4 linked regions of the Stegostoma tigrinum genome follow. The protein of the gene in region 4 purifies or fractionates together with the protein of the main gene of each other region. This does not show direct contact. Links are inferred from orthologs where the notes say so. Each region holds a gene or a part of one and is shown on either strand. Other genes may lie near its edges. The genes, in order: ddx46, splicing factor U2AF 65 kDa subunit-like, cdc40 and snrpa1.

Region 1 (7,484 bases), on a different chromosome or scaffold from region 4:
TTCCAAGTCATCTGGAGTCATGATTGGGTAAAGTTAAAACATCAATGCACGATGGGCCAAGGAGTAAAGACCTCTGACATCTCCCCTGTATCTACCTCCACTTGCTTTAAAACTATGCCCCCTGTAATAGCTACCTCCACCCAAGAAAATAGTCTCTGGCTGTCTACTCTATCTGTACCTCTGATCATTTTGTACTTTTCTATCAAGTCACCTCTCGTCCTTCGTCGTTCTAAAGAGAAAAGCCCTAGCTCTCTCAACCTTTCCTCGTAAGACCTTTCCTCCATTCCAGGAAACATCCTGGTAAATCTCCTCTGTGCCTTTTCCAAGGATTCCACGTCTTTCTTGAACATCGTTGGGATTACAACTGAAACTCAACTGGACTTCTCACATAAACACAGTGGCCACGAAGGTAGGTCAGAGGCTAAGAATACTGTGGCAAGAAATTCACCTCCTGACTTCCTAAAGCCTGTCCATTACCTACACGGCACAAGTTAGGAGTGCGATGGAATATTCCCCACTTGCCTGGATGGATGCAGCTCCAACAACGCTCAAGAAGCTTGACAGCGTCCAGGAGAAAACTCGATTGGCACAACATTCACAAGCATCCACTCCCTCCATCAGCAATGCTCAATAGCAACAGTGTGCACTATATACAAGATGCACTGCAGAAATTAACCAAAGATCTTTAGTCAGCACCAAACTGAATACCATTTCCATCTCAAAGGACAAGGGCAGCAAATACATGGGAACATCACCACCTGCAAGTTCCCCTCCAAGCTGCTCACCATTCTGACATGGAAATATATGGCTATTCCTTTACTGTTGCTGCACCAAAATCCTGGAATTCCCACCACAACAGCATTTTGGGTCAACTTACAGTAACATGGACAGCAGCAGTTTAAGAAGGCAGCTCACCACCACATTCTCGAGGGCAATAAATGTTGGCCAGCCAGTGATGCCCATGTCCGATGAGTGAATATAAAAAAATCAGAGCAGCCAGTTTGTGTATAGCAAACTGTCGCATAGAGAACAATGTGGTCATTACCACTCTGCTCTAAGATATTAGCTGCACATTAAATACCAGCATGACACTACAGCCAATTCCCTGTGCCATTCTGCTCAGAAGAGCAGGCTAGTCCTCAAGTTAACAAAAGTTAGCACCTCTGACAATGTTTTCCCTTTTAAATAAATGATTTGGATCTGAATACAAGAATGGCTAGTAAGTTTGCAGATGACACCAAAATTAGTGGTGTAGTGAATTCTGAAGAAGGATATCTCGGAGTACAATGGGGCCTTGATCAGATAGGCCGATGAGCTGAGGAGTAGCAAATGGAAATTCATTTAGATAAACATGTGGTATAATGTAAATCAGGTCAGGACTTAGGCTTTAGAGATAGCAAGAATGCAGATGCTGGAGAATCTGAGATAACAAGGTGCAGAGCTGGATGAACAGCAGGCCAAACAGCATCAGAGGAGCAGGAAGGCTGACGTTTCCGGCCTAGACCTCAGAAAATGAAGAAGGGTCTAGTCCGAAACGTCTGCCTTCCTGCTCCGCCTGTTGTGTTCATCCAGCTCTACACCTTCTTATCTCAGGACTTATGCATTATTTAGGGTCTGGGAAGTGTTGCCAAACAGGTTCATAATTCTTTGAAGGTAAACAGGGTAGTGAAGGCAGCATTTTGTATGCTTGCTTTTATTGGTCAGTGCATTTGTATAAGAATTGGGAGGTCATGTTGCAGCTGTCCAGGGCATTGGTTAGGCCATTTTTAGAATACTGTATACAATTCTGGTCTTCCTGTTGAACGGGTCCATTAAAGATTTACAACGATTTTGCTTGGATTGGAGGGTTTGAGCTATTGGGAGAGGCTAATTAGGCTGGGGCTATTTTCCCTGGAGCATCAGAGGCTAAGGACTGACCAGGTTAGATAAGGTGAATAGTCAAAGTCTTTTCCCAGGCTGGGAGGATCCAAAACTAGAGGAGATGATGGGAGAGGGGACAAGATTTAAAAGGGAGGTGCATGTATGAAGTGAGCTGCCAGAAAAACTGGTGGAGGCTGGTACAATTACAACATTTAAAAGGCATCCAGATGGGTATATGAATAGGAAGGCTTTCAAGGGATATGGGCCAAATGCTGACAAATGGCTCTTGGTTAACTTAGGGAATCTGTTCAGCATGGATGAGTTGGACTGAAACATGTTTCTGTGGTGTACAACTCTTAGTCTGTAAATGTTCCTTCAATGCTGCGTGTCAGTCAGGATTTCGATGCTCAAGTCTTGAAATTTGACTTGAACTCATACAACGATCTAACTCAGACACAGCTGATAAGGTATAGCGTGTAATTACAAAGTTGTTCCCTATGTGAACTTGCAACGACTTAACTATAACTGATTTTGTGACCACGAAATTTATCGAATCATTCCCAAAACCATTTTCATCTAATAACTAAATACATGTACCCCTTTAAACTGGTACAGAAATTGTGCCAGCTGTGCACCTGAGCTCGGGGGTACCAGATTAGATTTGAAATTTCCACTGCCCTTGCTCAGGACCCATCAGGAATCTGAAGCCCCCTTGTTCACTACCACAACAGGTGGCAAACATATCTCCTCCTGGCTACCAAATACCAGACGTGAAAATATACAAAGGCGATTTTCAAAAAGTGAAATATTCCGACGGTTTATCCTTTGCTGGAGGTGCTGTGGAGGAAAGTATCGTGGTATAGAAGGGGCGATAAATCGATGCAGAGAGTTCTGGCTGGGTGACTGCTAGGTCTGAGGCCTACTCCATTAAACTGCCTTTCTCCCTACCACTCATTACCGCCCGTCAGACTGTTCTCCCCGCCATTAACCACCCGCAGTGAGAAATACATTTATCACTACCTGGACTCTCTGCCCATTTCGAACGATTAAAGAGAACAAAACCAGCAACTCTCCACCTTCGCCACAATCCGATGAAGAAGGAGCGCACAGCGCCAAGAAGAAAGAAAAAGCCTCTTGGCTTCCAGCAACAACGCCACCGACTGACCGGAGGACCTAATGCCACACTATCGTTCATTGGGACCGATGATAAATTTTGTATTAGAGATAATGGGGACTGCTGACGGTGGAGAACCCGCACAGATGCTGCTTGCCCTGCTATGTCCATCCAGTTCCACAGTTTGTGAGAACAATTTTGTTTGCTTTGAGCACTTAACGCGGTCTCAGGGTCCCCTCAGTCTGGTCTGACCCATCTCCCACACCTCTTGCCTTCAGCCCTTATCCTCTTTCCCCAAATAGTAATAAGGCTCTGCTTGTTCTTACTTTCCACGCTGCTGGTCACCGCATTCAAAGGATTACCCTACTCCATTTTTGTCACCTCCATCAGGATGTGACTGCTGAACTCATCTTTACTCTCCTTCACTGTCAGCATTCCACAAGAACAGTTCCTTCCATGGTGCCCTGGTTCATTCCTGCAACACTCCGAATGCTCTCTCACCCGCTATGGCACCTTCTCAAGCAATCACAGAAGGTGTAGCATTTGCCCATTCTCCTCTTCCCTCCTTACTGTTCAAGGCCCTGAAAACACCTTCCAGGATACATCACAAATGCAAGGGCTAACACTCACTGAAAATGTAGCTAGTGTGTACCCAGTCACAGAGCAAGTTGATGAAAGCCCATTGCTGGCAGCAATCTTACTGCATTAATCAACCATCCATACCATATTTGAATTACAATGATGCACCAAAGATGCTTGTTGGCAAGGACTTTGCATGTGGCTTATGACTGTTGGACCTGATCACGAATTGATAGCAGGCTTATAACATTGTGGAACAAATGATTAATGTTACGAACAACTGTTCCATTGTCTGAAATTCCTTTCAGTATTTAACAAATTTGTGTTGGTCTATTGCATTGTCTATAACTTTTTCCTCATGAGGGCACAGGCCCTGTCAGCAGAGTGGGCAATGTGGAAAAGAAGAGGCAGAAGAGGAACAGATGGTGGTGAGTTGTCTCTGAGCAGATTCTCAGACTTTCGTTCCTTGGTAATCTCATTGCCACATCATCATTGTTTTACAAGTCCAGAGTCTTTTCATCTTCTTGGCTTAAATCCTGAAATGAAAGACAGCACAGAGCAAGTCTTTTTAAAACAACTTTCTCTGACAGCATTTCCAATGATATGTACAAAATCAAATTATTCACACTGCTGCATTTCTTAGGTGCCTGTTTTGAAGGTGTCTTTGCCTGGCCGAGTATTCATATGTAGTCGCAATGGCTGCAGCATGGCTGAAAGAAGGCTCGTAATCTTCAATGTTTAGGATTCATCTGTGATGTCATGCACAATTTCACTCTCCAGAGAGTAGACACATGAGCTATTCTTTCCCTCTGGCTTGGCTTATAACATTATAAGCTTTGCAGCCCACTTGTGCACTAAAGTGCTAATGCCTCTAAGTTATATTCAGCGCCATTATGTCAGCCTATCAGTAACATTATTTCTTTATAACATGCTGTTGCTCTCATCTTCGCAATGAGACACCACTAACTGGTCAGGTAGCAGATCTAGGGTATCTGAAAGTAGAAATGCAAAAGAGGAGGATTGAAGTGAGGTAAAGGAATGTGTTGAGTGGAAAGCTGCAGAATCATGCTCAAACCCTTTGCAGTTTGCACTACATGTCAGCAGGAAAGGCTGAGGTGGGATTTTAAAAGTGAGTAAGACAGGCGCATGCCTTCATCCAAGAATTCTCAACACTGCAGAATGCAAAGTCCGCAATCACTACTGTGTAATGTTTTCTCTCTGAAGGGTTCAAGGGCTGTAAGTTTGCCTGTTACATGTGAGGTCTATGCTGCTCTCTTCTGCTATATGCTGTCTTGTCCTACAGGAGAGAGGAAAGAATATCTGTAAGTATACTTAAACAAGTTGGGGTGACATGCCTGACATGACTGAATAGCTGTAGGTTTGTGAAATTAGAAGGAGGCTTTGCCAGCCTATTGATAAGTGTGTGAGAATGAATGCAGCATCTAATATTGGGCTTGAGTGTAGGAATACCAAAGATTCCTGGTGGCAGAGTAATGGGTTGTGTGCATTACACAGTGTGAGGAGTTGGTAGGTTGATGGATAACACGAGACATTAAATGATACACTCATTGACCTTGCTTACTTATGTGGGACCATTGAACGTTTGCTAGCATTGCTGTCAGGTCCTGGGCACTGGACTTCTGGAATTTGATAATGTGATCATTTATGCTCACATTTCCTTCATAGGTTGTACATTGAGGGTATCCTGGCCCTCTGTGAAGACATAACCATTCTACTTTTTCCAATCCCTTAAATTAAAGCCTCCCACTACTTTTCAGAAAATCCCTTTCACTGAACTGTGTTTTATTGATATTTTTAATCCTTTCCTCAAAGCCTCTCGCACAGAATTCCACCAGTTGCTCCCTTTAAGAAGAACAGATTGCCTTTAAGAAATACTGTCTGGCTGCAATTTGGTCGATTGATTGGTTGTTGTCATGTACCAAAATACAGTGAGAAGTATTGTTTTGAGTGTTACACAGGCAGATCATACCATACAAAGTGTATCAGGGCAGCAGAACAGAGTGCCAGATACAGTGTTACAGCCTCAGAGAAGGTGCAGAAGGAGCAAAAGATCAACATTAACATTTGAGAGGTCTGTTCAAAAGTCTGATAATAGCGGGGAAGAAGCTGTTCTAGAATCTATTCGTACGTGATTACGTTGGTTGCTTTCCTGAGGCAGCGAAAAGTACAGGTGGAATCAAAGAAATGGGAGGCTGGTTTGTGTGATGGACTGGGCTGTATTTATGACTTTGTCTAGCTTCTTGCAACCTTGGAAAGAGCAGTTGCCATGCCATGCTGTGATGCATCCAGTTAAGATGCTTTCTATGGTGTATCTGTAAAAAACTGGTAAGAATCCTTGTGAACATGTTGGATTTCCTTGGCTTCCTGAGGAAGTAGAGTGGTTGTTGTGCTTTCTTGACCATTATATCAATATGGGTGGACCAGAATAGCTTGTTGGTGACCATGAGTTGGTCATGCATTTTGTACTGTGTAGCAAATCCCAATCATTGAATTGACCCACTGGCATGATGTTTACATGCTGCCTGCATAATCTCAACTGGGCCTTGCTTGATCATTCCTTATGATATACACAACTCTCTAAGTGAATTTTACCTGAATCCATTCAAAGTAAATCAGAACTGAAGGAGAAATGATGATGAGATAATGATAAATACAAGAAAAATGATTGGAAAGGAAGAATCGGACATGGGGCACAACCTAATAGGGGCCTGGATGCCATGGGCTATGGCAAGAAATTACCACAATCACACAAGACAAGCGACATGTTGGGAAAAACTGCTGCGTCTTATAACTAGATTCTGGGTGTTGAGGCAAAATTCTAGCTATACAGAAGCAAATTATTTATCAGGGGTGAGTACTGCTTGTTAATGATGTTATTAACTGCACGTTTGACCTTATAAATTTGCAGCTTCCTGATTTACCACCCACTGTGAGCAAACTAGTCACCAAGATAATTCAACATGCAAGTCAAAGCAGGTACCTGGTGACTTCAGCTCACTGCTCACTCTGAAGAACCTCCATGTTGGGAACAGTTGTCAGCATCTCATGGGCAATGCTAATGTACACCCCATATCCATGGGCATTGGTGTCCAGAATGTGCCAGCCTTGAAGAAGCCTCATGGCACACCTCTAATCCATGCACAGTGCTCTTGAATTTCAATGTTGCACTTCACGATGCAATAGTAATTATGAGAGTAATACTGCAGCAAGGATACTTTGCTCTCAGCAACATGCACCCAGCTCATAAACTGAGCCACAATGCATCACCACCTGTTTACTTGGTCTGTTGGGGTGGTCAATATCAGAATCCTGTCCAAATAGAGAATGAGGAGACTATCACAGCCCATCACTCCACTTGGTCTTCCCTGTCCCACTGTGGGCCATTTTCGTCCTGGAATGAGAGAAGAGCAGGTGAAAAGGGGATAAAATTGGGTAACACTAATGCAGGTAGCAAGGTGTCCCGAGTGAGTGTTTAGGCAGTGCAGAAGACATACATGGTTCGTGCTGTCAGGTATTGCGATGGGCAATAACAAGTGACAGAAGATGTTGCAGGCAGTAATAAGAGTGGGAGGTGGGTGCAGTCGCCAAGATAGATTGAGTGTGATGCATTGGAGAGAAGGTGGTGGCACTTACGCTGGTAGAATGAAGAAGGACATTGACCTTCTTCCTAGTTGGCTGTGGATTTATCTAGACTGACCTGGGTGGTAATGTTAAAACCAGACCAATAGGGTCTGATATTGTGGCCTCCACTGCTGGGCCTGGGGAAAGAAAACTTCACTCGTCTGCATCATTTGTTGACTAGGACTTCCAAGACCCTGCCCTCAAAATAGGGAGACAATTTATCCTTGGCAGCATGTTAGTTTGTTTCAGAATATCCTGGCAATGGCAAACTGTTCCAGGAATAGCAAGT
Region 2 (7,180 bases), on a different chromosome or scaffold from region 4:
GAGCATTTTCCACTCTATTTCCCCGCCTAGCTTTGAATCTTCGGGAAATTTGCATATATTATACTCAGTCTCTTTATCTAAGCCATTAATATGGACTACAAATAGTCACTAATCCTGTCAGTGTGCATAAGAATGTTAATATAGAGGTCATCCCTACTAAGTCTTACACTGAAAAATAACCCAGTTGTCTATAATATTTAGCCTCTCATTGAAGTACCTGAGTTAGAAGCTGAGTCATTTTTTTCCTGTGATCAGAGATAATGGGAACTGCAGATGCTGGAGAATCCAAGATAACAAAGTGTGGAGCTGGATGAACACAGCAGGCCAAGCAACACCTTAGGAGCACAAAAGCTGACGTTTCGGGCCTAGATCCTTCACCAGAAAATTTTCCTTGGGTCTAGGCCTGAAACGTCAGCTTTTGTGCTCCTAAGGTGTTGCTTGGCCTGCTGTGTTCATCCAGCTCCACACTTTGTAATCATTTTTTTCCTGTGTTATTGTTCTTGTGATGGGGCTGCCATTGACAAAGCCAGCATTTATTGCTCAGCCCTAAGAGTCAATTATATTGCTATGGATGTGGACTCATATGTAGGCCACCCCTCGGCACATTTCCTTCCCTGAATGAGCCAGATGGGATGTTTTTAATGACAATTCACAGCAGTCACATGATTACTATTAGGCCAGATTTTTATTCTTTATTTTCTTTTCTGTTAAATTCCAGTTTCACCATCTGCTGTGGTAGGATTTGAATAGATGGCCCTAGAATGGCCCATGGAATTGCTTTCTAGTTCAGTGACATTACCACTACACAATCATCTCCCTATGATTCTGTAGCCCTGGAGTGTCAGAAACAACAAACTTTACATTCTTTTAGTGTTTTAAACAACTTTCTGCAATTGCCCTGCAAGGATATTTTATTGTCCACTTGCTTGTCAATCAGAAAGTTCCTGATGTGTCATATTTGCTCTACCATGTACCACAACCTAGATGCAACTTCTGTTTATTTTACAACAGGGTAGAACAATGCTGAGGTTTTATGAACTGAAGAAGGAAACCCTCCAAAGAGTATGAACAGCAAATTTACAGCAAAGCAGGACTTCTGTCTGAAGACCTTATGCTAAATCATAGGGTTGACAGTCCATGCACAACAGAGAATCTGAAACAGCCATCAGGAGGGTGGAGGTGAGCTGAAGATCTACCACAACAAATAAAGGTTTCATGAAAACTCTTAAAAAATACAATATTTGCAAGAAAATGTTTATCTCACCTATACACTAATATTTGCAATGTTTGAAGCGCTGATAAATATATTTTCCATCAAAGGCCCGTGCCTTCCTGCAAAGCCTGAGGTTCAAATTTTCCCTAAAAACTGAAAGAACTACAAATGCTGTAAATCAGAAACTAAAACAGAAGTAAGACCATAAGACATAGGAACAAAAATTAGGCCATTCGGCTCATCGAGTCTGCTCCACCATTCAATCATGGCTGATAAGTTCCTCAATACAATTCTCCTGCTTTCTCCCCATAGCCCTTGATAATCAAGAACCTATCTATCTCAGTCTCATATGTACTCAATGCCCTGGCGTCCACAGCCTGGAAAAACTCAGCAGGTCTGGCAGCATCTGTGAAGAGGAATCAAGAGTTAATGTTTCGGGTCAGGATTGATAAGGGCAGAGCAGTGGATATGACCTAAATGGGCTTCAGTAAGGCATTCAATAAGGTCTCTCATGGCAGACTGATTAGCAAGGTTAGATCACATGGAATATAGGGAGAACTAGCCATTTGAATTTAGAACTAGCTTGATCAGTGCTGGGTCCACTGCTTTTTGCATTGAGATAAATGATTTGAGTGTGAACAGAGGAGGTATGGTTAGTAAGTTTGCAGCTGACACCAAAATAGCAGGTGTAGTGGACAGTGAAGAAGGTTACCTCAGAATACAATGGGCCCTTCGTCAGAAGGGACATTGGGCTGAGGAGTGGCAGAGTGAGTTTAGTCTAGATAAATGTGAAGTGCTGCATTTTGGTAAGGCAAATCAGGGCAGGGCTTAATGGTAAGGTCCTGGAGAATGTTGCTAATTGAAGAGACTGTGGAGTGGGAGGTTCATAGTTTCTTGAAGGTGGAGTTACAAGAAGATAGGATAGTGAAGGCAGTGTTTGGTACACTTGCCTTTATTAATCAGTTCATTGAGTATAGGAATTGGGAGGTCATGTTGGGACTATACAGGACATTTGTTCGGCCACTTTTGGAATACTGCATTCAATTCTGGTCTCCCTACTGCAGGAAGGATGTTGTAAAACCTGAAAGGGTTCAGAAAAGATTTATAAGGATCTTGCCAGGATTGGAGCTATAGATAGAGCCTGAATAGGCTGGGGCTATATTTCCTGGAGTGTCGGAGGCTGTGGATGACCTTATGGAGGTTCATAAAATCATGTGGGGCATCGAAAGGGAAAATAGTCAAGGTCTTTCCCCCGGGGTGGCAGTGTCCAAAACTAGACGGTATGAGAGGGGAAAAAATTTAACAGAGACCTAAGTTGCAATGTTTTCACACACAGACTGGTGCATGGACGGAATGAGCTACCAGAGGAAGTGGAAGAGGCTGGTACTATTACAACATTTAAAAGGCAATTGGATGGGTATGTGAAAAGGAAGGGTTTAGAGGGATATGGGCCAAATTCTGGCAAGAGGGACCAGATTAACTTAGGATATCCGGTTGGCATGCATGAGTTGGACCAAAGGGTCTGTTTGCATGCTCTTTCAGCCCTATGACTCTATGGTTTATAGCACTTGTTAAATAAGAGTGCTAACGTCTGCATTAGCATAGCTTAAAATAATCTGTTGAGTTTGTAAAATAGCTGATTTGTGCTGTGAATAAATGATATGCATTCACATGCAGGAACCCATACATTACAAAATAAGCAACAGCTTCAAATTTTATGTAATTTTGGAGAGCCCATGTAGCTCTTCATCACTTTCTCCAAGACAGTGCCTCAAGCAATCAAAGTCAACTCGCAAAAACATCAACTTTTGCTCCTAAGATGCTGCATGGCCTGCTGTGTTCATCCAGCTCCACACTTTGTTATCGCCAATTATTTAGCATCTTCTTCTCTTGTATAATTGTTTGGTTATTTGAAATTTGGCATTATTTTTGTGCTGATTTACAAGATGAAAAGCTTAAGCAAACTCTTTTTTCATCAATTTTCCGTCTTGCCCACTGGAACAAAAACTGATTGTTCTTATCCAGATTTAGATGGGCTCTACTGTTTAATTTGCCCTGAATACATGAGAACTGGCTCTTGACTTTGCGTGGTGATACAAAATGACTCCATCATTTTTTTTGTACTATATTCAGAAACGTATAAAAGTAGACAACTTTAAAAAGAAACACAAAATATCAGGATAATTAGCAATATAACAGTAAGCTCCCCATGTATCTTAATTTGGTACTTTTAAAGTGTCTCATGTTGTCCTTCTTCAAAAACTGGTCAAACAGGAGAATAAAAATTAAATTTTTCGACAATAGATCTGGTTGCTTTCTACTCAGAACTCAGTCACAACAGGAGACTGCCAGAAGAACAGAGGGAAACACTTTAGGGAGGTGCTCTAAGCATCTATAAAGAGAGGGAGTCTCTGCAGCAACTCATGGCATGATCAAAGGGGGAAATTTATTTTAGAAGGCATCAAACAGATTGAAGGACTTCAATGGGAGCACAACCTCTATTCTAGGTGCCTGTCCTTCAAGTCCAATTTGCCCTTCATGTGGCAGAGTCTTGAAATGGTCCATTGGATTCATCAGCCATCTCAGAACTCACTCAACCAAAACAGAATAAACAAGCCATCTCTGAGCCCGTAGGTATTGGCTAGCAAACGAAGAAATGGAAACAAAAATGTAAACGTAACTGAAAACACTTTACACCTTACTGGGTGAAAGTTAGGGAATGTTTATTTTGAATGTGTCTGTTACTGTCATTGTGTCACTTTGAGGAAGAGCGGCAGTGAAATGCGTTAAGTTCCCACACGGCGTTTGACTCTCTGCGCGCACCGTCCCTCCGCGACCCAACGTGGCCTCCGCGGTCCTGCCCCAACGATTCGCCCATGGGGGGATACTCTCGGCAACGATTGGTGAATTGAGCTGTCAGTCGGAGGCCGGTCCCGGCGTTGGGGGAGGGGAGGAGGAGAGCGCCATCCGGAAGCCGCGGGTGAAGCGGCCATTGTGCGGAGGGAGCAGAGTCTGAACCCGAGTCGGCGGGGGGGAGAGCTGCGGCACCGTTTTTAACGGTGATCGAGGGACGGCGCGGGACTCACGATTGATAAACCACCTTTTGTTTTCTTTTTAAAAAAAACAAGTTTCACCCACTTTCTTTTTGAAAAAAAATCGTAAAGGTTCACACAGACACAAATGTCAGACTTTGACGAATTCGAGAAACAGTTGCACGAGAACCGACAAGGTGAGCAGGGCCTACCGGACCAGGCTTTTTCTGGGTTTTTTTATATAAAGGATTCCAGGGCCTCCCCGTCATCCCACCCCGTCGGCCCTGCTGCGGCCTCGAGTCAAAATCGTCCGTGTTTCCAGGAGTTAATTTAAAACTGGTTTCTCAATGAATACCGAATGAGCGGCGGGTGGGTGCATTGCGCAAGCTCAGTGTCAACTTAGCCAACCCTGGTGACAGGAAGAAGGCCATTCCGTCCCTCTGTATTCTGCACCCCCCGTAGTCCGATTCCACATTCAGCCCATGTGGAGACTTGGGCATTCCCTCTCTCTCAGCTCCTCTGCACACTGCCTCTTCTCCTCATTCAGCCCCTCCAACCACTGCGCTCTATGTTCTGACCCGTACCCCCTTTGCCCCCACCCATTCATTAGCAACATAAAAGGGAATCCAGAAGTCTGCTGTAGGGATATAAACGGCAAAATGGTAAGAGAAGGAACAGTCGTGCCTTTTCGGAACCAAAGGGAGATCTGCACAGGGAAAACAGTTCACCTTGGTACAAAACGTGTATTTGTGTCTGTTTTCACTAAAACCTTGCACGTTTGGGTGCCTGAGATAACAAAGGTGTAGAGCTGGATGAACACAGCAGGCCAAGCAGCATCAGAGGAGCAGGAAGGCATATGTTTCGGGCCAAACCTTGTATGTTTGGCTGCCTGCAGTTTTAGGGGAGTACTGAAGTAATGACAGATGTGGATTTGTCTATATGTTTTTACTTTAAAATATTTTTAATCTTTTGCCTTTTCAATTTCATTGAAGGGTTTGATTCAGTATTTAAATGTATTAAATTGAATTATGTTTCTTTTGGTCAAATGTCTAATTGACAAACAAGTCTAATCAATAGTTAATCTATTCCAGAGAGATGCTGATCTATGAATGTCCAACATACAAATGTTTGTACTTATGAAAGCAATCTCATACTGGGATATAATTTAAAATATCCAACATAAGTACAAGAAATTTTGATACGCATACTTGCTTTATAATTGTCCTGCATTGTGTTCCACCTTGTGTACAAATTAAACTCAGGAACCGAACCCGTCCGCAACCTGGGATCTGCCTGTATGTTCTTTTATAATTGTGTGAAGACCAAAATTTTCTGAATGTATTTGTCTGTGAATTTTTCAGCATTTGCTGTTTTGAGATTTTTTTAAACAATCAATATATTAGTATTTAGTAGAGCCGCTGTTCCTTAACTGCGTTTCATACAACTGGTTAGAACTTGCTGTTGCCTCCTGCTGTTTGAATAGCTGAAAATTGCAAACAGGTGCTAAAATCCAGTAAGAGGCTGCAGTTGAATCCTTTGAATCATTCAGTTTTTACCAACTTGAGCATTTTATGAATTATGTACATACTCTGTAGAGCAGTCCAAGATGAAGTTGCAAGAAATTGCTAACCCTTACAAAAATTATATTTTGGATTTTTCTCCAAGCTTCACTCAGTCCTTCCTATATTAAGCAGAAATTTGAATTTTACTTGATTATACCTATTAGCCAACTTGGATTTCAGTTACAGTATACGACATTACAGATTATATGATTTAGTCTCCTCTGAATTGAAAAACTCTTATTTCTTATACATATATTGAAACTCAACATTGTTGCATACCCTTAAGAATGTGGTTTTGATCAGATTTTTAAGTAGGTAGGGAATTGGAATTATTGGGTAAATTTGTCTCTCAGATTTAGTACCCCTGGAAACATGGGTGCTTTCCTGTCTTTTGAATATTTATGAAAGAGTTATGAGGGATTTACAATTAGGTGACTTTTTACTTTTAGCATGAATCTGTGAACTAGCTATTTTAAGTACAAGTTTTATTTGTCACTCATTCTGTTCAGATATAGTTTCGGATTTTTTTTAAAAGCATACATTTCTCAAAAATATTCAGTGGTGGGATTTGAACAGTTAGGGTAGCATTTATTGCCCATGGTCATGAGCTGCTTTCTTGGACTGCTATGGTCTACATCAGGTAGATGCACTCAGAAGTGAATTCCAGGACTTAACCCAGCAGAAATGAAAGAAAAGCATTGTACGTCTAAGTCAGGATAGTGAGAGACTCGCAAGGAAATTTACTGATTAAAGTCATCCCAGGCATCTGCTTCCTTTGTATTTGTAAGTGTTAGAATTTGAGAATGTGGAAGGTGCTGTCAAGGAAAACTTGGTGAATAATTGCAGTGCGTCTTGTAGACGGAACCTGCTGCAGCCGCTGTGCAGTGGTGGAAGGATTGAAGTGGCCTGTTCTGTCCTGAACAGTGTTGGGCTTCTTGTTTTGGAACTGTGTGTGTGCCGGCAATGAAAGGTATTCCATCACACACCTGGCTTACATTGCAATCAGGCTTCGGAGACTGTGAATGTGAATTACTCACTGAAATTCTCAGCCTTTGACCTGCTGTTGTAGCCACAATGTTTACTGGCTGGTCCATGTTTTAGTTTCTGGCTAGTGATGAACCCTAGGATGTTGATAGTGGGGGTTCAGCAATAGTAATGCCATTGAATGCCAAGGGGGCACGATGAGTAGATTCTCTGTTGGAGATGGCCATATTTGTAGATATTCTTTCACTGATATTGAGCTAACATAGGAGAAACCCAACAGGCAATCCAAAGAAATATGAGGAGTACATAACAGTATTTTATGTCTAACTTCAGGCGCATTCCTGCTATGAATAATTGAGAATTAATTATTAAGGCATATGTAAAAATAT
Region 3 (7,270 bases), on a different chromosome or scaffold from region 4:
TAATTAACTTGTATCTCTGCAGCCATGACAATTTTGTTTTCAAAACAGTTGAGAGTCTTTAGACTGAACTAGTTCTTATGTAGCTCTGGAGGGTTCACTGAGCAAGGTAAATAATTGTTCCTCAAAGTTCCTACTAGAAAATCATGTTTTTTTTAAGCTTGAAGAGATTGAAACGTTAGAGAGATTTTTTTCAGTTTTACTGTCAGTTTTGGGCAGATCTACATGTGCAAAGTTTTCATGTGCAAAGTTGTTCCAGAAAGGAAAAAGATGGTGGATTTGTTAAAACTATAATGTGGAGGTGCCTGTGTTGGACAAAGTCAGAAGTCACACAACACCATTGTTATTGTCCTGATGAATGGGCTGTGCTTTGAAAGCTTGTGATTTCAAACAAACCTATTGGACTATAACTTAGTACCATGTGACTTCTGACTATGACAGAACTAGACCACCTTGGAGCGATGAGTTAAAGTTCCAGAACGGAAACGTTTGGATAAAATCCTGAACAGGTTACTTGAAATTGAGATAATTAAGCTCAGGCATATGATAGCTCTGGGAAGAAACTACTGTGTTTCCCTGTCAAGAGCTGAAGTCAAATTAGACACATCCAGGTGCAAGAAACTTTCCGGTATGACAGCTGTATAAGGGGGTGCTTCTGCGTACTGTACTGAAGTATTTTAGGATCTGTACAGGAGTCTTTTTAAAAGTTTAATGGAATTATATTTCACTGTATGTTTTAACATCTTTACAGTTTGTGTTACAAGTAAATTGTGTGGTTTACTCTATTTTATTTCCATACATTTTACTTCAAATTTCTGCTTTATGGTTAAAAACAATTTTTAAAAAGATTCATTCATCAAAAGTGGGCATGGTTGGCTGGGCCAGGATTTACTGGCTATTTCTAACAGCACTTATTAAGGTAGCGGTGAGCTGTCCTCTTGAACTGCTTCAGTCCATTTGCTGTTAGCAACGCCATTAGGGAGCAGTTCCAAAATTTTGACCATGCAACACTGGAAGAAAAATAATATATTCCCAAGTCAAGATGATGAATGGCTTGGAGGGGAACTTGCAGGTAGTAGTGGCTGTACGTAACTACAGCCCATGTTGATCTAGATGGTAGTTGGCATGAGTTTGAAAGGTGCTGTCAAGGAGCCTAAGTGAATTTCTGTAGTGCAGCTTTCAGATGGTGTACACTGCTGCTGCTGCAAATCTGTAACACTGTATGCATCCAGGGGTGCATGTTCATTGTTCTTTGAAAATGGAGTCACAGGGAGACAGGGTAATGATGAAGGTGGTTGGTATGCTAGACTTTATTGATCAGTTGGGATGTCATGTTGTGGCTGTACAGGATATTGCTTAGTCCACATTTGGAATACTGCCTTCAAATCTGGTCTTCCTGCTAAACAAAAAATGTTGTGAAAATTGAAAAGGTTCGGAAAAGATTTCCAAGGATGTTCCCAGTGTGAGAGGGTTTGAGCTATGGCCAGAGGCTGAATAGACTAGGTTTATTGTCCCTGGAGCATTAGAGGTTGAGAGGTGACCTTATAGAGGTTTGTAAAATCATGGGGGGGCATGGATAGGGTGAATAGCCAAGGTCTTTTCCCAGGTTAGGGAAGTACAAAGCTCATGGGCATAGATTTAACCTAAGGGGCAACTTTTTCATGCAGAGGGTGGTGCACATATGGAATGAACTGCCAGAGAAAGTGTTGGAGACTCGTACAATTATAACATTTAGAAGGTATCTGCATGGGTATAGGAATGGGGAGGATTTAGACAGTCTGGTCTTAGTCTGGTCAGCATAGACAAATTGGACAAAAGGGCTTGTTTCCATGCTGAATATTTCTATGACTCTAATCCAAACACCAAAACACATTAAGTCAGCTAAATCTGTTTCCAAAATCCATGCGGCAGTTCCTACTGAAACATCAAAACAAACGTGTGTGTAGTGGACAACGTTGCAAAGAGCTCTAAGCAAATCACCTGTGTCTTAAAAACTACCTAATAACAACCAAAAGAGCTGCGGATGCTGTAAATCAGCAACAAAAACAGAAGTTACTGGAAAAGCCGGTCTGGCAGCTTCTGCAAAGAAAAAAATCAGAGTTAACATTTCTGGTCCGTTCACCCTTCCTCAGAACTATTCTGTTAACTTTGATCTTTTCTTCACAGATGTTGCCAGACCTGCTGAGCTTTTCCAGCAACTTCTGTATTTTGTTCTTAAAAGTACCTATCTTTCAAGGGTTAATCAAAATGTAATAATAACAAATGGGGCTTATCAATTTACTGAAGTATACTAAGCCTGTACACGCAAGGAAATTACTTATAAAGGTTTTTCTCCTCATAAATGAAACAAGTTAGCAACAAATCTGTAGTCTAGTTAAAATGGTCTGTTATCAGATGTCAGTTTCCAATAGCTATTCAACGGAACATCACCAACATTATTAAGGAATTTTTGAGTGGTATTTTTCTGTCGTAGACGCATCAATTCTGTCCTTTCCCCAGGTTCGGGTCGGAGGCAGACAAACCCCGTTTTTTGTGAGATTGTCAACAGACTAAACCCATGTGCCCCATCAGGCCCGACTCGGGCCTTCCTACACTCACCTTTACAGCAACATCAGGAGCGGAGTTCAAAGCGAGGGATCCGTGAAGGCGTGACATGGATTTCTTAGGCTCCAGAGGGTGCAGATGAGCCACGGCGTCTCGGCTGGGGAGCTCTCCACATTCACCATCCGAGTCGCTGCCACTGCCGCTGCCGTAAGAGGCCAGAGCCGCAATCGCCGCCGACATTTTCGCGGGCGCCTCTCTCAGAAGATGACGCGCGCTTGCAGATCTAAAACTTAACCAGTCCTCCCCAAGTAAACACCACAGCGTTCACTGACAGGAGTTTCCTTGGCACCGTCTTCACTATTTTAAATGTTGAGAAATTTCTATCGGCGTCAGTCTCACAATATCATCCTCCCGGACTTCAGCGAAACTCCAAGGACTATTATTTACCCCACGGCGGTAAGGCCCAAATTCCCACCTCCGACAATCTGATTGGCTAGCCTGGGAAGGAGTGGGTGAGCCCATCTCGGCAACAACCCTTTGTCCATTGGTTCTGTGCCTTGTCGATCAAAAGACATCACAAAGCTCCCTTCGACCCTTCCTCCTCCGTTCCACAACGCATTCCAATTCGATGGTCTTCCCCCATACCCCTTCCAAACGGCCAGTGCCATTGGGACAATACACGGGAGGATCGCTCAGTGCGTTCAGCCGGATAGCGGTGGACGAAATCCGTTCCGGCAGGCACAGCTGCGTCCGGCGCTTTCTAAGCTCGGCCGTTCTCTGCGATTTGGAAGCCGAAACGCCTCTATTTTCGGATTGAAGAAGCGAACGGGTCCTGCTGCCGCGGGTGCGATGTTCCCCGTGCGTGTCGCCGACGTGCGCCATTCCGGCTGAAGCGGCGGCGGTGTTGTTATCGAGACCGGCGAAAACTTGGGGCGTCAGTAAAAGCGGACCGGTTAGAGCGAAGCTCCCAGACGGCCGCTCGCGGACAATGAAGACGTTATTCTCCAACTGAAAGACGTTCCAATTCATTGTTTTTTTTAAAAAAAAATCTATAGGTCTAGGTATCTCGGAAGATTATATTTTAAAAAAATACTCGAGGCCGGTAAGAGTTTACAGGGTACGTAATTCTAATCTCAGTGAATGAAATGTCGAGCTCTTGGAATTTTATTTATTGTTGCAGTGTTTTTATTTGCTGTGCAAAACAATTGCCTCACAGCAAAGGTGTGTGTTCGGAGAGGGGCTTGCGTTTAGCCATGGTAATTTTTTTTTGCAGTCTACAATCTTACCTTTTTATTTTTCTTCTCCCTCGCCAATTTCTTTCTGTGGTTGCCGAGGCCCCGGCAGGTAGTGATGGTTGGACTGATGGATGGGGCTTGCTCGGGTGCACCTGGGCTTCAGCCCTGAGTCTCTCATTCTCTCCTGCACCACAGTCGGAGCTGCACTGGCCGCAAAAAATCCCGTGTTATCGAGAGTCTGACCTTTCTGCAACTCGCTATAACTCACTGCTCTCTCTCCTGTTCCATTTCAACCACTTAGTTGAGATCGTGAATTTGGATGCGCACTCAATCCCTTCGCAAGAACATGCAGTATAAAGGTGTCGATTGTTTGCAGAAATTTTATTTCAATATTGAGGTTTTCGTGAAGCTGGATGGATGCCCTCGATTTCCACAAAGAATTTGGGAAGGGGGTGTAGCGGGTGGAAGAGAAGATCGGCAAATATTCTGTGACCCTAAGATATTAGATCTCAGCGCGGCAGGGTATTTTATTTTGTGCAATTTATAAACAGAGGCTTACTGTTGAAGTTTTGTCCACTCACGGACAGTAAGTTCATGTTTGTAGGTGCGGTGCCGTCGCATCACGACTGTAACGGTCGCTAATTTTGCAGCGTAGGGAACACATTTGACTAGGATGAATGATAAACGTGCTGATTATTTAGCAATTTTATTGCGAATGACCATGAGCAACTTTTCAGGACTGTCTGCTTTCCTGGCCCCTTGACCTAATGCAGAAAATTATTTGCCTTTACGTTTTGAAAGGCTGTTTATTTTTGCTTTAAACTCTGCCGCCCGCAGTACTCGATTCCCACGCCAGAGGTTGATCGCAGACCTGAGCTCCTGTATTTCACCTCTTCGAAAGACCTTCCCATACGCACCCACCCCCTAACCGCAGTGTTTCAATATTTTGAGCGGAGTAAAGAGAGATCCACGATGAGCGGTTGGAGCGACACTATCTCAATTTGCGCAAAACTTTAAAAGCACAACTTAGTACTTTGGATCCTTTCCTTTCATTAGCACTTCTTATATGCGGTCCGAATAATTGCTCTTCACAGCCGAAGTGGAATTGCAAACGACTTTCAGATAACTCGCTGGGGAAATAATTGCAATACCCTGGAAAAAATGTTCTAGTATAAATCGCTATGCATTTCTGAGACGGGTAACTTTTTTCCAAGCTTAGGGTTTCAAAAGTTGGAGCAGTGACAGATTTGAGCTCGATCCTGTTTCTTAACTTTAAGAACAAATCAATCGGGATGATTTCTGCTGCTGTGCTTTTTTAAAATTTGTATTGTTTTGTAAACTTCAAATCTTCCTGAAGTTAAAACGTAGCGCTTTTCTGCTTATAGAAAAATTTCAGGATCCACTCACTATGACCATACCTTTAACAAAGGAAATGTAGCCAAGAGCTTACACGTTATCAGACAGAAATGGAAATTCAATAGTAATAGGACAAGGAATTTCAAGTAGCTTTTAAGGAGCATCTTGGAGCAGGATAGAAAGCAAGATAGAACACAGTGTGTTTTAAATATGGAATTACAGAGCAAAGACCTGCGACTTTGGTCAATACAGCTACCAGCAATAGGGCAAAACAAAAGGAAAGTGCTCATGAGACTAGAATTGGAAGAACAGAGAGTTCTTGGAGAGCTGTAAGCTTGAAGAACCAAGAAGGTACTTGATGCAAATTCGAAATTAGAGGCATTGTTGAGTTGTGGAGCTTCCAGGGAATGCATGAATGATGCTTGATGCAAGTTGGGAGTTGGCAGTGGTTTCATATGAGCTTAAGGATGGTAAATGAAAAGCCAACCAGGACAGCATGTCTTGTGTAGCAAACTTAGACAGCGTTACCTAAAATTGCACCATTCAACAGCCCATTTTACAGCAATTTACTCATTGATGTCATTGCATGAGGAGTTGGGACCTGAAGAAAATGTGGACCCCTCACCATATGTTCCTCTTCAATGTAAAATGTATAGGTTTCAAATAAGCTAACTAATTACACACAAAAGAACATGGGCTTGTGAGTGTTTTCAACTCTTTGTATGACTGGTGCTGAAACTGTAAACATGGAAGGGCAGAGACAACACAATTTAGATTTAAGGGAGGAGCAGTCTAAAATGAATAATAAAATACCAAAGAAATAACCTTTCAGCAGCATCTAAATTCTCTGCCTAATTTTAGATCCATTTTAACTCGCCATTCTTTCAAGAAACTTATGTATATAGCTTGCATGGTCACGTGCTGAGGTGAAAAGCACGATCAGCAGGACTGAAAGGCTAACGTAACTGTGCATCTTACACTTTTGTTTGGTCTCCTAAAGCAAGTTTTGTTTTGTACCTTGAATAGTTGTATCTTGGGTGCAAATGTAAGGAAATTTCACTATCTTTTATTTTAATTATTCTTGTCTTTATTTCAAGATAGATGCATTTTGTTATTGTGAACTAGCTATTTGAAGATTGAAACTGCTGTGTTAAATTGTTTGGTCGTCTTTTCATCGCAGATGTATGTTAGTTATTGCACTTAGCTACTTGATAATTATGGCTGGCCAGTGTTCACATAAATCTTATAAAATGTTCTAAATTTATGGCAAATAAATTATTTTTGTGCTTGAGTAGGCTGAGAATATAAATGTATGAAAGAAATATTGGCTTTAATGAAATGGAAGTTTTCAAAATACTGAATATGAATGACTTTTAGAAATGTAACTTTTTAAAGAAACATCATGGAGAAGTGTGTGTGTTTAGGAGCATTGTATCGGTCATGTATACTGAAAATGTGTATGGCAAAAAATCTATGAAAACCAGATTTTGCTGTACTAGTCTCATTACACCAAAAAATACTGCCAAGTAATCTTACTTGCAAAGAAAGTTTCTTCAATATTATGCATATAATTATCTTAATATTTAACATGAAAAGATACAATTCAGGAGAATGTTTTGGGAAATTGGATAAGGAGCCAATTTACTTTTTATGATTTTCTGAGGTTGGCTGTTTGTTGACAAATTATATAATTAGGTTTTTATAGATTTGTGCAGATCATTATGAAAGGGCAATGCTTATCCATTAAAAGTACATTTGCAACACAAATACAGTATTGTGAATAAATTATTTCATCTGGCATCTTAAGTGCACGGAGATTTACGTGAAATGCCAAATGTGAAATTATGCCATTTTTGTTATTTTTAATGTGTTGGATGCTTTACTGAAATAAAAGATTGGCTATCGCCTTATCTCATAGTTGGTATGTTGCCAATTAATAATTCATGTTTAAAAACCATGAACAGTATTATTAAGCTTCAGGAGGATTGTAGAAGAGCTATACTGTGCTTTAAGTGAAGTAATGCCATGAGCAATAACAGCTTTGTTTGTCATAAAAGTTAGGCCATTGGCATGATAAATTACACAACTTCCCAACCAATTCTTAATATCATGACTTCTAATTAAAGTTAGATTCTTTC
Region 4 (7,621 bases):
GGGGGGGAGGGAGGGGGGGGAAGGGAGGGGGGGGGAAGGGAGGGGGGAAGGGAGGGGGGGGGGAAGGGAAGGGAGGGGGGGGGAAGGGGGGGGGGGAAGGGTGGGGGGGGGGGGGGGGGGGAAGGGTGGGGGGGGAAGGGGGGGGGGTGGGGGGGGGGGGTGGAGGGATGGTGGGGGGGGTGGTGGAGGGGGGGGGGGGAGGGGGGGGGGGGGGGGGGGGGGAAGGAGGGGGGGGGTGGGAGGGGGGGGGAGGGGGGGAAGGGGGGGTGGGGGGGGAAGGGGGGGGGGGGGGGAAGGGGGGGGGAGGGGGGGAGGGGGGGGGGGGAGAGGGGGGGATGGGGGGGGGGGAGGGGGGAAGGGGGGGGGGGAGGGGGGAAGGGGGGGGGGGGAGAGGGGGGAGGGGGGGGGAGGAGGGGGGAAGGGGGGGGAGAGGGGGGAGGGGGGGGGTGGGGGGAAGGGGGGGGGGAGGGGGGAGGGGGGGGGGGAGGGGGGGGGGGGGAAGGGGGGGGGGAGGGGGAAGGGGGGGGTGAGGGGGGAGGGGGGGAGGGGGGGGGAGGGGGAGGGGGGGAGGGGGGGAGGGAGGGGGGGGAGGGGGGGAGGGGGGGAGGGGGGGGAGGGGGGGGGGGGGAGGGGGGAGGGGGGGGGGGAGGGGGGAGGGGGGGGGGGAGGGGGGAAGGGGGGGGGGGAGGGGGGAGGGGGGGGGGGGGGGGAAGGGGGGGGTGAGGGGGGAAGGGGGGGGGAGGGGGGGAGGGGGGGAGGGAGGGGGGAAGGGGGAGGGGGGGGAGGGGGGGAGGGGAGGGGGGGGTGGGGGGGGAAGGGGGGGGGGGGGAGAGGGAGTGGGGGGGTGGGGGGGGATGGGGGGGGGGGGGAGGGGGGGGGGGGAGGGGGGGGGTGGGGGAGGGGGGGGGGGGGGGGTGGGGTGGGGGAGGGGGGAAGGGGGAGGGGTGGGGGGAAGGGGGGGGGTGGGGGGAAGGGGGGGGGGGGGGGGGAGGGGGGGGGGGGGTGGGGGGTGGGGGGGGGGGTGGGGGGTGGGGGGGGGGGGGGAGGGGGGGGGAGGGGGGGAAGGGGGGGAGAGGGGGGAAGGGGGGGGGAGAGGGGGGAAGGGGGGGGGGAGGGGGGATGGGGGGGGGGGGGTGGGGGGGGGGGGGGGGGTGGGGGGGGGGGGGGGATGGGGGGGGGGGGAGGGGAGGGGGGGAAGGGGGAGGGGGGGAAGGGGGAGGGGGGGAGGGGGGGGGGGGAAGGGGGTGGGGGGGAAGGGGGAGGGGGGGGGAGGGGAGGGGGGGGGGTGGGGGAGGGGGGGGGAGGGGGAGGGGGGAGGGGGGGGGAGGGGGGGGGGGGGGGGGGGGGAGGGGGAGGGGGAGGGGGTGGGGGAGGGGGAGGGGGAGGGGGGGGGGGGGGGTGGGGGGGGAGGGGGAGGGGGTGGGGGAGGAGGGGGGGGGGGGGGGAAGGGGGGGGAGGTGGGTGAGGGGGAGAGGAGGGGAGGGGGAGAGGGGGGGGAGGGGAGAGGGGGAGAGGGGGGGGAGGGGGAGAGGGGGGGGAGGGGGTGAGGGGGGGGAGGGGGTGAGGGGGGGGTGGGGGTGGGGGGGGGGAGGGGGGTGGGGGGGGGAGGGGGGAGGGGGGGGGGGTGGAGGGTGGGGGGGAGGAGGGAGGGGGAGGAGGGAGGGGGGGGGGAGGGAGGGGGGAGGAGGGGGGGGGGGGGAGGAGGGGGGGGGGGGGAGGGGGCGGGGGGGAGGGGGCGGGGGGGGGAGGAGGGGGGGGGGGGAGGGGGCGGGGGGGAGGGGGGGGGGGGGGAGGGGGGGGGGGGAGGAGGGGGGGGGGGGAGGGGGCGGGGGGGGAGGGGGCGGGGGGGAGGGGGCGGGGGGGGAGGGGGCGGGGGGGGAGGGGGGGGGGGGGGGGGGGGGGGGGGGGAGGGAGGGAGGGGGGGGAGGGAGGGAGGGGGGGGGGGAGGGAGGGGGGGGGGAGGGAGGGGGGGGGGGAGGGAGGGGGGGGGGGAGGGGGGGGGGAGGGAGGGGGGGGGGGGAGGGAGGGGGGGGGGAGGAGAGGGAGGGAGGGAGGGGGGAGGAGGGGGGGGAGGGAGGGGGGAGGAGGGGGGGGAGGGAGGGGAGGGGGGGGAGGGAGGGGAGGGAGGGGGGGGGAGGGAGGGGAGGGAGGGGGGGGAGGGAGGGGAGGGAGGGGGGGGAGGGGGGGAGGGGGGAGGGGGGGAGGGGGGGGGAGGGGGGGAGGGGGGGGGGAGGAGGGGAGGTGGGGGGAAGGAGGGGAAGGAGGGGGAGGGGGGGGGAGGGGGGGGGAGGGGGGGGGAGGGGGGGGGAGTGGGGGGGGAGTGGGGGGGGAGTGGGGGGAGGAGGGGGGAGGGGGGGGGAGGGGGGGGGAGGGGGGGGGAGGGGGGGGGAGTGGGGGGGAAGGAGGGGGGAAGGGGGGGGGAGGGGGGGGGAGGGGGGGGAGTGGGGGGGAAGGAGGGGGAAGGGGTGGGAGGGGGGGGGAGGGGGGAGGGGGGGGGAGGGGGGGGGAGGGGGGAGGGGGGGAGGGGGAAGGAGGGGGAGGGAGGGGGGGGGAGGGGGGGGGGGGAGGGGGGGGGAGGGGGGGGGAGGGGGAAGGGAGGGGGGGGGGAGGGGGAAGGGAGGGGGGGGGGAGGGGGAAGGGAGGGGGGGGGGAGGGGGAAGGGAGGGGGGGGGGAGGGGGAAGGGGGAAGGGAGGGGGGGGGGGGAGGGTGAAGGGAGGGGGGGTGGGGAGGCTGATGGGCAAGGCGGGTGAGAAGAACCAGGGAGGGTGCGGGGGGAGGGGAGGACGAACCGCGCTTTGGAAGTCCTGCCCCAGACTGCCTCTGGGCCCACGGCTAGATACGGGCATAGCTCGACGATCAGCCAAATTTCTCCGACACTCTCTTACCCCGAAGATCAAGCTCCCGATCTCGGACCGGGTTCGTGTACTGAGCTGCTAATTCAACAAGCTCCGCCGTCAGCTTCACCATGATGACCCTCACCCCCACACCAACCTGCGCCTTGGCTACTGCCCTTACTCCCACAGTGCCCCGCGGCCCCGCCCCTGCCCTCACTCCCACAGTGCCCCGCGGCCCCGCCCGTGCTCTCACTCCCATAGTGCCCCGTGCGCACAGGGTTACTTTGGACGTTGGAAATGAAGTGGGAGACATTGATTAGAGATAACACGGTGTGAAGCTGGATGAACACGGCGGGCCAAGCAGCATCAGAGGAGCAGGAAAGTTTTACGTTTCGGGTCGAGACTCTTCTTCAGAAATGGGGGAGGGGAAGGGAATTCTGAAATAAATAGGGAGACGGGGAGGTGGATAGAAGATGAATAAAGGAGAAGGTAGGGTCAGATGTGTTTGTGAAACATGAGAAATAGTAACGCGGTAGGCCGTTCAGCTTGTCTTTCAGTAAGATCACAGCTGATGCTCCATCTACACCTGGTGTATACACTTCTGGTTAAACTGGTTAGAAAATTACCGAGGTTTAAAACCTTTGAAGAGAAAACGTTTCTTCTCATCTCTTTCCAAATTCCAGGAATAAAATCCAACCTCAGCTTTTCATCCCACTGAATAAAAACCGAAAGAGCTGCAGATGCTGTAACTCAGTAACAAAAACAGACGTTGCTGCAAAAGCTGAGCAGAACTAGCAGCATCTGTGAAAAATCAGAGTTAACGTTTCAGATCCGGTGAAGGAGGGGTCACTGGACCCGAAACGTTAACTCCGATTTTCTTCCTCTCAGATGCTGCCAGACCTGCTGAGCTTTCTCAGGAACTTCTGTTTTTGTTCTCATCCCACTGATCCTTGGGACTGTATGATTTTGACCCAGACAAATTGAAGGAATAGTAATATATTTCTGAATCAGACTGGTGACTAGCTTGAGGTTATAGACTTGCTTGCCAAGCTGGTGGGTTTGTTTGCAGACATTTCGTCACTCTGTGAGGTAAGATTGTTAGTGTGCCTCTGGTGAAGCGTTGGTGTTCAATTCCGCTTGTTATTTATATGCCTCCATTTGTTGGGATGTTTGGTACCACTTTCAGGTCTGTATCTCTGTTTTTTGTACAAGGGGTCTAATTCAATGTGTTTGTTGATGGAGTTCCAGTTAGAATACCAGGCCTCCAATTCCCTGGCGTGTCTCTGTTTGGCTTGTGCAGTTATGGATGGGTTGTCCGCGTGTATTGAGACAAGTGAGAATTGGTCGTATCTCATGGTGGGATACGCAAGATCAGGTCCACGAGATTTATCCACCTTTACGTTTATAAGCTCTCCAGCACATCCTCTTCTGTAAAGTGAACAGTTTTCAAAACATCAATATTTATTTCCCTGCTTTCTCTAGCGACCATTTCTTTATCCATGGCAAAAACTAATGCGAAATATTCATTTAATATCACTCCCATCTCATGAGATTTAACACAAAGACGACTCTTGGGTCTTTAAGGGACTTCTCTCTCCCTAGTTGCTGTCTTATTCTTAATGTCCTTGTAGAATCTCTTTGGACTATTCTTAACCTTGTCTGCCTAGCCGGTCTCACATCTCTTTGCTTTCCTGATATCACTCTTAAGAATGCCCCTGATTCTTTTTTATTCATGACTAGAACCTCAATATGTTTGTTCATTCATTTTTCCCTACCAGCCTTACGTTTCTCTCTGACAGGAACATAATGCTGCAGAACCCTGGTTATGTCACTTTTGATAGCCTCCCACTTGTCAAACGTTCCTTTCCCTGCAAACAGTCTACTCCAATTAACTTTTGAAAGTTCTTGTCTCATACTGTTAATATTTGCCTTTGAGGTTGGTTGGCTCACTGAGCTGGTTTGTTGTTTTGCAACAACAAACCAGCTCAGCGAGCCAACCAACCTTAACACCCACAACACGAGCTACAGATTTCCTCCAAAACATTAGAAATATTTACCCTGATCCAACTAAAATCTTCAACTTTTGTGGAAGGCTTGTCCTGTTCCATGAACATTTTCAAACTAATGGAATTATGATCACTAGACCCAAAGTGCTCAATAACAAGAGGGATAATTTTAAACTGAAAGGCAAGAGGCTTAGGATTTGAGGAAAAACCCAGAGGAGAGTGGAGGTCTGGAATGTATTGCCTGGGAAGGTAGTGGGGTGCAGCAACAAAGTACTTGGATGAGCACTTGAAATGTCATAATTTTCAAGGTTATGAGTGCAGGCAGGTGGATAGCATAACTAGTAACAAAAACAGAAATTACTGGAAAACCTCTGCAGGCCTGGCAGCATCTGCGAAGAGAAATCAGAGTTAATGTTTCGTTAACTTTGGTGACCCTGGGGAGGCAATGGCCCAGTGGTATTAGCACTATACTGATAATCCAGAGACCCAGAAATGTTTGAGAAACCCAGGTTCGAATTCCACCACAGTAGATGGTGGAATTTGAATTCAATGAATATCCAGAATTAAGACTCTAATGATGCCCGTGAATTCATCATTGATTGTTGAAAAAATCCATCTGGTTTGCTAATGTCCTTTAGGGAAGGAAACTGCCATCTTTACCTGGTCTGGCTTACATGTGACTCTAGACCCACAGCAGTGTGGTTGACTCTGAACTACCCTCAAGGCAATTAGGGATGGGCAATGAATGTTGCTTGGTCAGTGATGCCCTTATCCCATGAATGAAAAAACACCCTTCCTCAGAACAGTATATTAAGGGCCAAAGAAATTCTACAAGTGTATTAAGGGCAAATGAGTAACTAGGGCCCTTAAAAGATCAACAATGTTGCCAGACGTGCTGAGCTTATTCAGCAATTTCTGTTTTTATTTCTGATTTACAACATTGACAGTTCTTTTGTTTTTTAATTAGCACAGCTAGTATATTTTTGGGGAAGCAGTCTTGATGAACTGAAGCCAGTTTTGATGGTGTTAGACAGCAACTTTCAAAAATTGATTGGGGAGGCTATGTACAGGTAAAAGGATGTCTTGCAAGTGGGAAACTTTAAAAGGTGAGATACCCAGAGTCAGGGACAGCATATTCGTGTGATGTGATAGGCAAGTATAGGATATGCTGGATTTCTAGAGATGTTGATGCTCTAGTCAAGGAAAAAAAGGAGACACATGCCAGGTATAGGCAACTGAGATCAAATGAATCCCTTCAGGAGTACAGGGGGTGAAAACAGGAGGGGAAGGGGAGACCTAAGGTAGATTTGGCAGGTAAGGCTAAGGGGAACCCAACAAGATTCTACAAGTGTATTAAGAACAAAAGAGTAACTAGGGAGAGAATAGGGCCTTTTAAAGATCAATGAAGCTGTCTAAGTGTTGAACTACAGGGGATGGTTGAGACACTGAACAAATATTTCGCCACGGTATTTGCTATGGAGAAAGACATCGAGCTCAAGAATTCAGGGAAATAAATGGTGATATCTTGAAAAGAGTCCACATTACAGAAGAGAAGGTCTTAAAACACATAAAGGTAGATAAATCCCCTGGACCTGACCAAATGTATCTCAGGACATTGAGGGAAAATAGGGAGGAAATTGTGGGGCCCCTAGCAGAGATGCTTATATCATTGATAGCCACAGTTGAGGTCCTAGAAGACTGGAAAGTTAATAAATGTAGAGCTGGAAAAGCGCAGCAAGTCAGACAGCATCCAAGGAGCAGGGAAGTAAATGTTTCAGGCCAAAACCCTTCGCCATGACTAGTCAGGATTGTTGACATGGCTTTGTGCACAGGAAATCATATCGCACAAACTTTGTTGAGTTTTTTGGAAGAGGAGATGAACAAGATAATTGAGGGCAGAGCGGTAGACATTGCCTGTGTGGACTTTAATAACGTCTTTGGCAAGGCTTATAGACGCTCTCTCTCTCTCAAGCATGCGCGCACACACACGCACCTATATCAATGGGGTGAATTTGCATTTGCAGGTTTGTAATTGCAGATACATTCTGTTCCGTTCAAAAAGCACACAATTTGTAGACAGTCAGTGTGGAATTTTATAAATTCCTACTTTGGAAATAAAACCAATCTGACTCCAAGTTAATAAACAGCCAGATTCTAAACGAAGCCTCGCATCTAAAATGCATTGTCTGACTTGAGAAGTCACCTCTGGTATACTGATAAAACCTTTAGTTATCTTGGGACAGTGACTTGAAATAAATTCTGGGATTTTGTGTATTCGTCATTTCTAAGTGATTAAAAATTTAACAGCTATCTTAGGTTTATTCAACGCATTCACATCAGTTCATGTTTCTTGATGAAAGATACATGTAGTATCTTTCTGAAAAACTGGATATCCGGAAAGATACTACACTTCCCGACACACACATCACACTATCCTACAGCAGGAACACGTCGGAACTCACCGCAAGACTCCTATGACCGCTGGGCATCAGAGTGACACACGAGCCCACGTCAACCCTTCGGAAACTGCTCACCCGAACTAGGGTCCCACTCCCCGCCATGGACAGGACATCTACAAGATCCCCTGCAGAGCCTGCGAGAAACACTACATCGGGCAAACAGGAAGGAAACTAACAACAAGAGTACATGAACACCAACTGGCTACAAAAAGACAACCAATACTCACCGATCTCAATCCACATGGACAAGGAGAACCATCATTTCGACTGGGACAACACCAAGATCCTGGGACAGTATGGCAGAGACAGGCACGAGAATTC

Evidence for each region.
Region 1: the proteins of snrpa1 (region 4) and ddx46 purify together in Homo sapiens (affinity purification with mass spectrometry; 3 studies listed by BioGRID and IntAct, counting the BioPlex papers as one, with this or other methods). This does not show direct contact. The link is inferred for Stegostoma tigrinum from reciprocal best matches to the Homo sapiens genes SNRPA1 and DDX46.
Region 2: the proteins of snrpa1 (region 4) and splicing factor U2AF 65 kDa subunit-like fractionate together in Homo sapiens (co-fractionation; 3 studies listed by BioGRID, with this or other methods). This does not show direct contact. The link is inferred for Stegostoma tigrinum from reciprocal best matches to the Homo sapiens genes SNRPA1 and U2AF2.
Region 3: the proteins of snrpa1 (region 4) and cdc40 purify together in Homo sapiens (affinity purification with mass spectrometry; 3 studies listed by BioGRID and IntAct, counting the BioPlex papers as one, with this or other methods). This does not show direct contact. The link is inferred for Stegostoma tigrinum from reciprocal best matches to the Homo sapiens genes SNRPA1 and CDC40.

The regions. Positions count from the first base shown.
Region 1 is NC_081366.1:30,953,669-30,961,152, reverse strand, and holds the start of ddx46 (probable ATP-dependent RNA helicase DDX46), read right to left. Parts: upstream 3,003-7,484; 5' UTR 2,898-3,002; coding exon 2,881-2,897; intron 1-2,880. UniProt on the Homo sapiens protein: Component of the 17S U2 SnRNP complex of the spliceosome, a large ribonucleoprotein complex that removes introns from transcribed pre-mRNAs.
Region 2 is NC_081375.1:48,722,790-48,729,969, forward strand, and holds the start of splicing factor U2AF 65 kDa subunit-like, read left to right. Parts: upstream 1-4,164; 5' UTR 4,165-4,393; coding exon 4,394-4,442; intron 4,443-4,457; exon of another isoform or gene 4,458-4,622; intron 4,623-7,180. UniProt on the Homo sapiens protein: Plays a role in pre-mRNA splicing and 3'-end processing. By recruiting PRPF19 and the PRP19C/Prp19 complex/NTC/Nineteen complex to the RNA polymerase II C-terminal domain (CTD), and thereby pre-mRNA, may couple transcription to splicing.
Region 3 is NC_081357.1:25,293,311-25,300,580, forward strand, and holds the start of cdc40 (pre-mRNA-processing factor 17), read right to left. Parts: upstream 3,022-7,270; 5' UTR 2,782-3,021; coding exon 2,596-2,781; intron 1-2,595. UniProt on the Homo sapiens protein: Required for pre-mRNA splicing as component of the activated spliceosome. Plays an important role in embryonic brain development; this function does not require proline isomerization.
Region 4 is NC_081386.1:1,212,331-1,219,951, reverse strand, and holds the start of snrpa1 (U2 small nuclear ribonucleoprotein A'), read right to left. Parts: upstream 3,017-7,621; 5' UTR 2,969-3,016; coding exon 2,887-2,968; intron 1-2,886. UniProt on the Homo sapiens protein: Involved in pre-mRNA splicing as component of the spliceosome. Associated with sn-RNP U2, where it contributes to the binding of stem loop IV of U2 snRNA.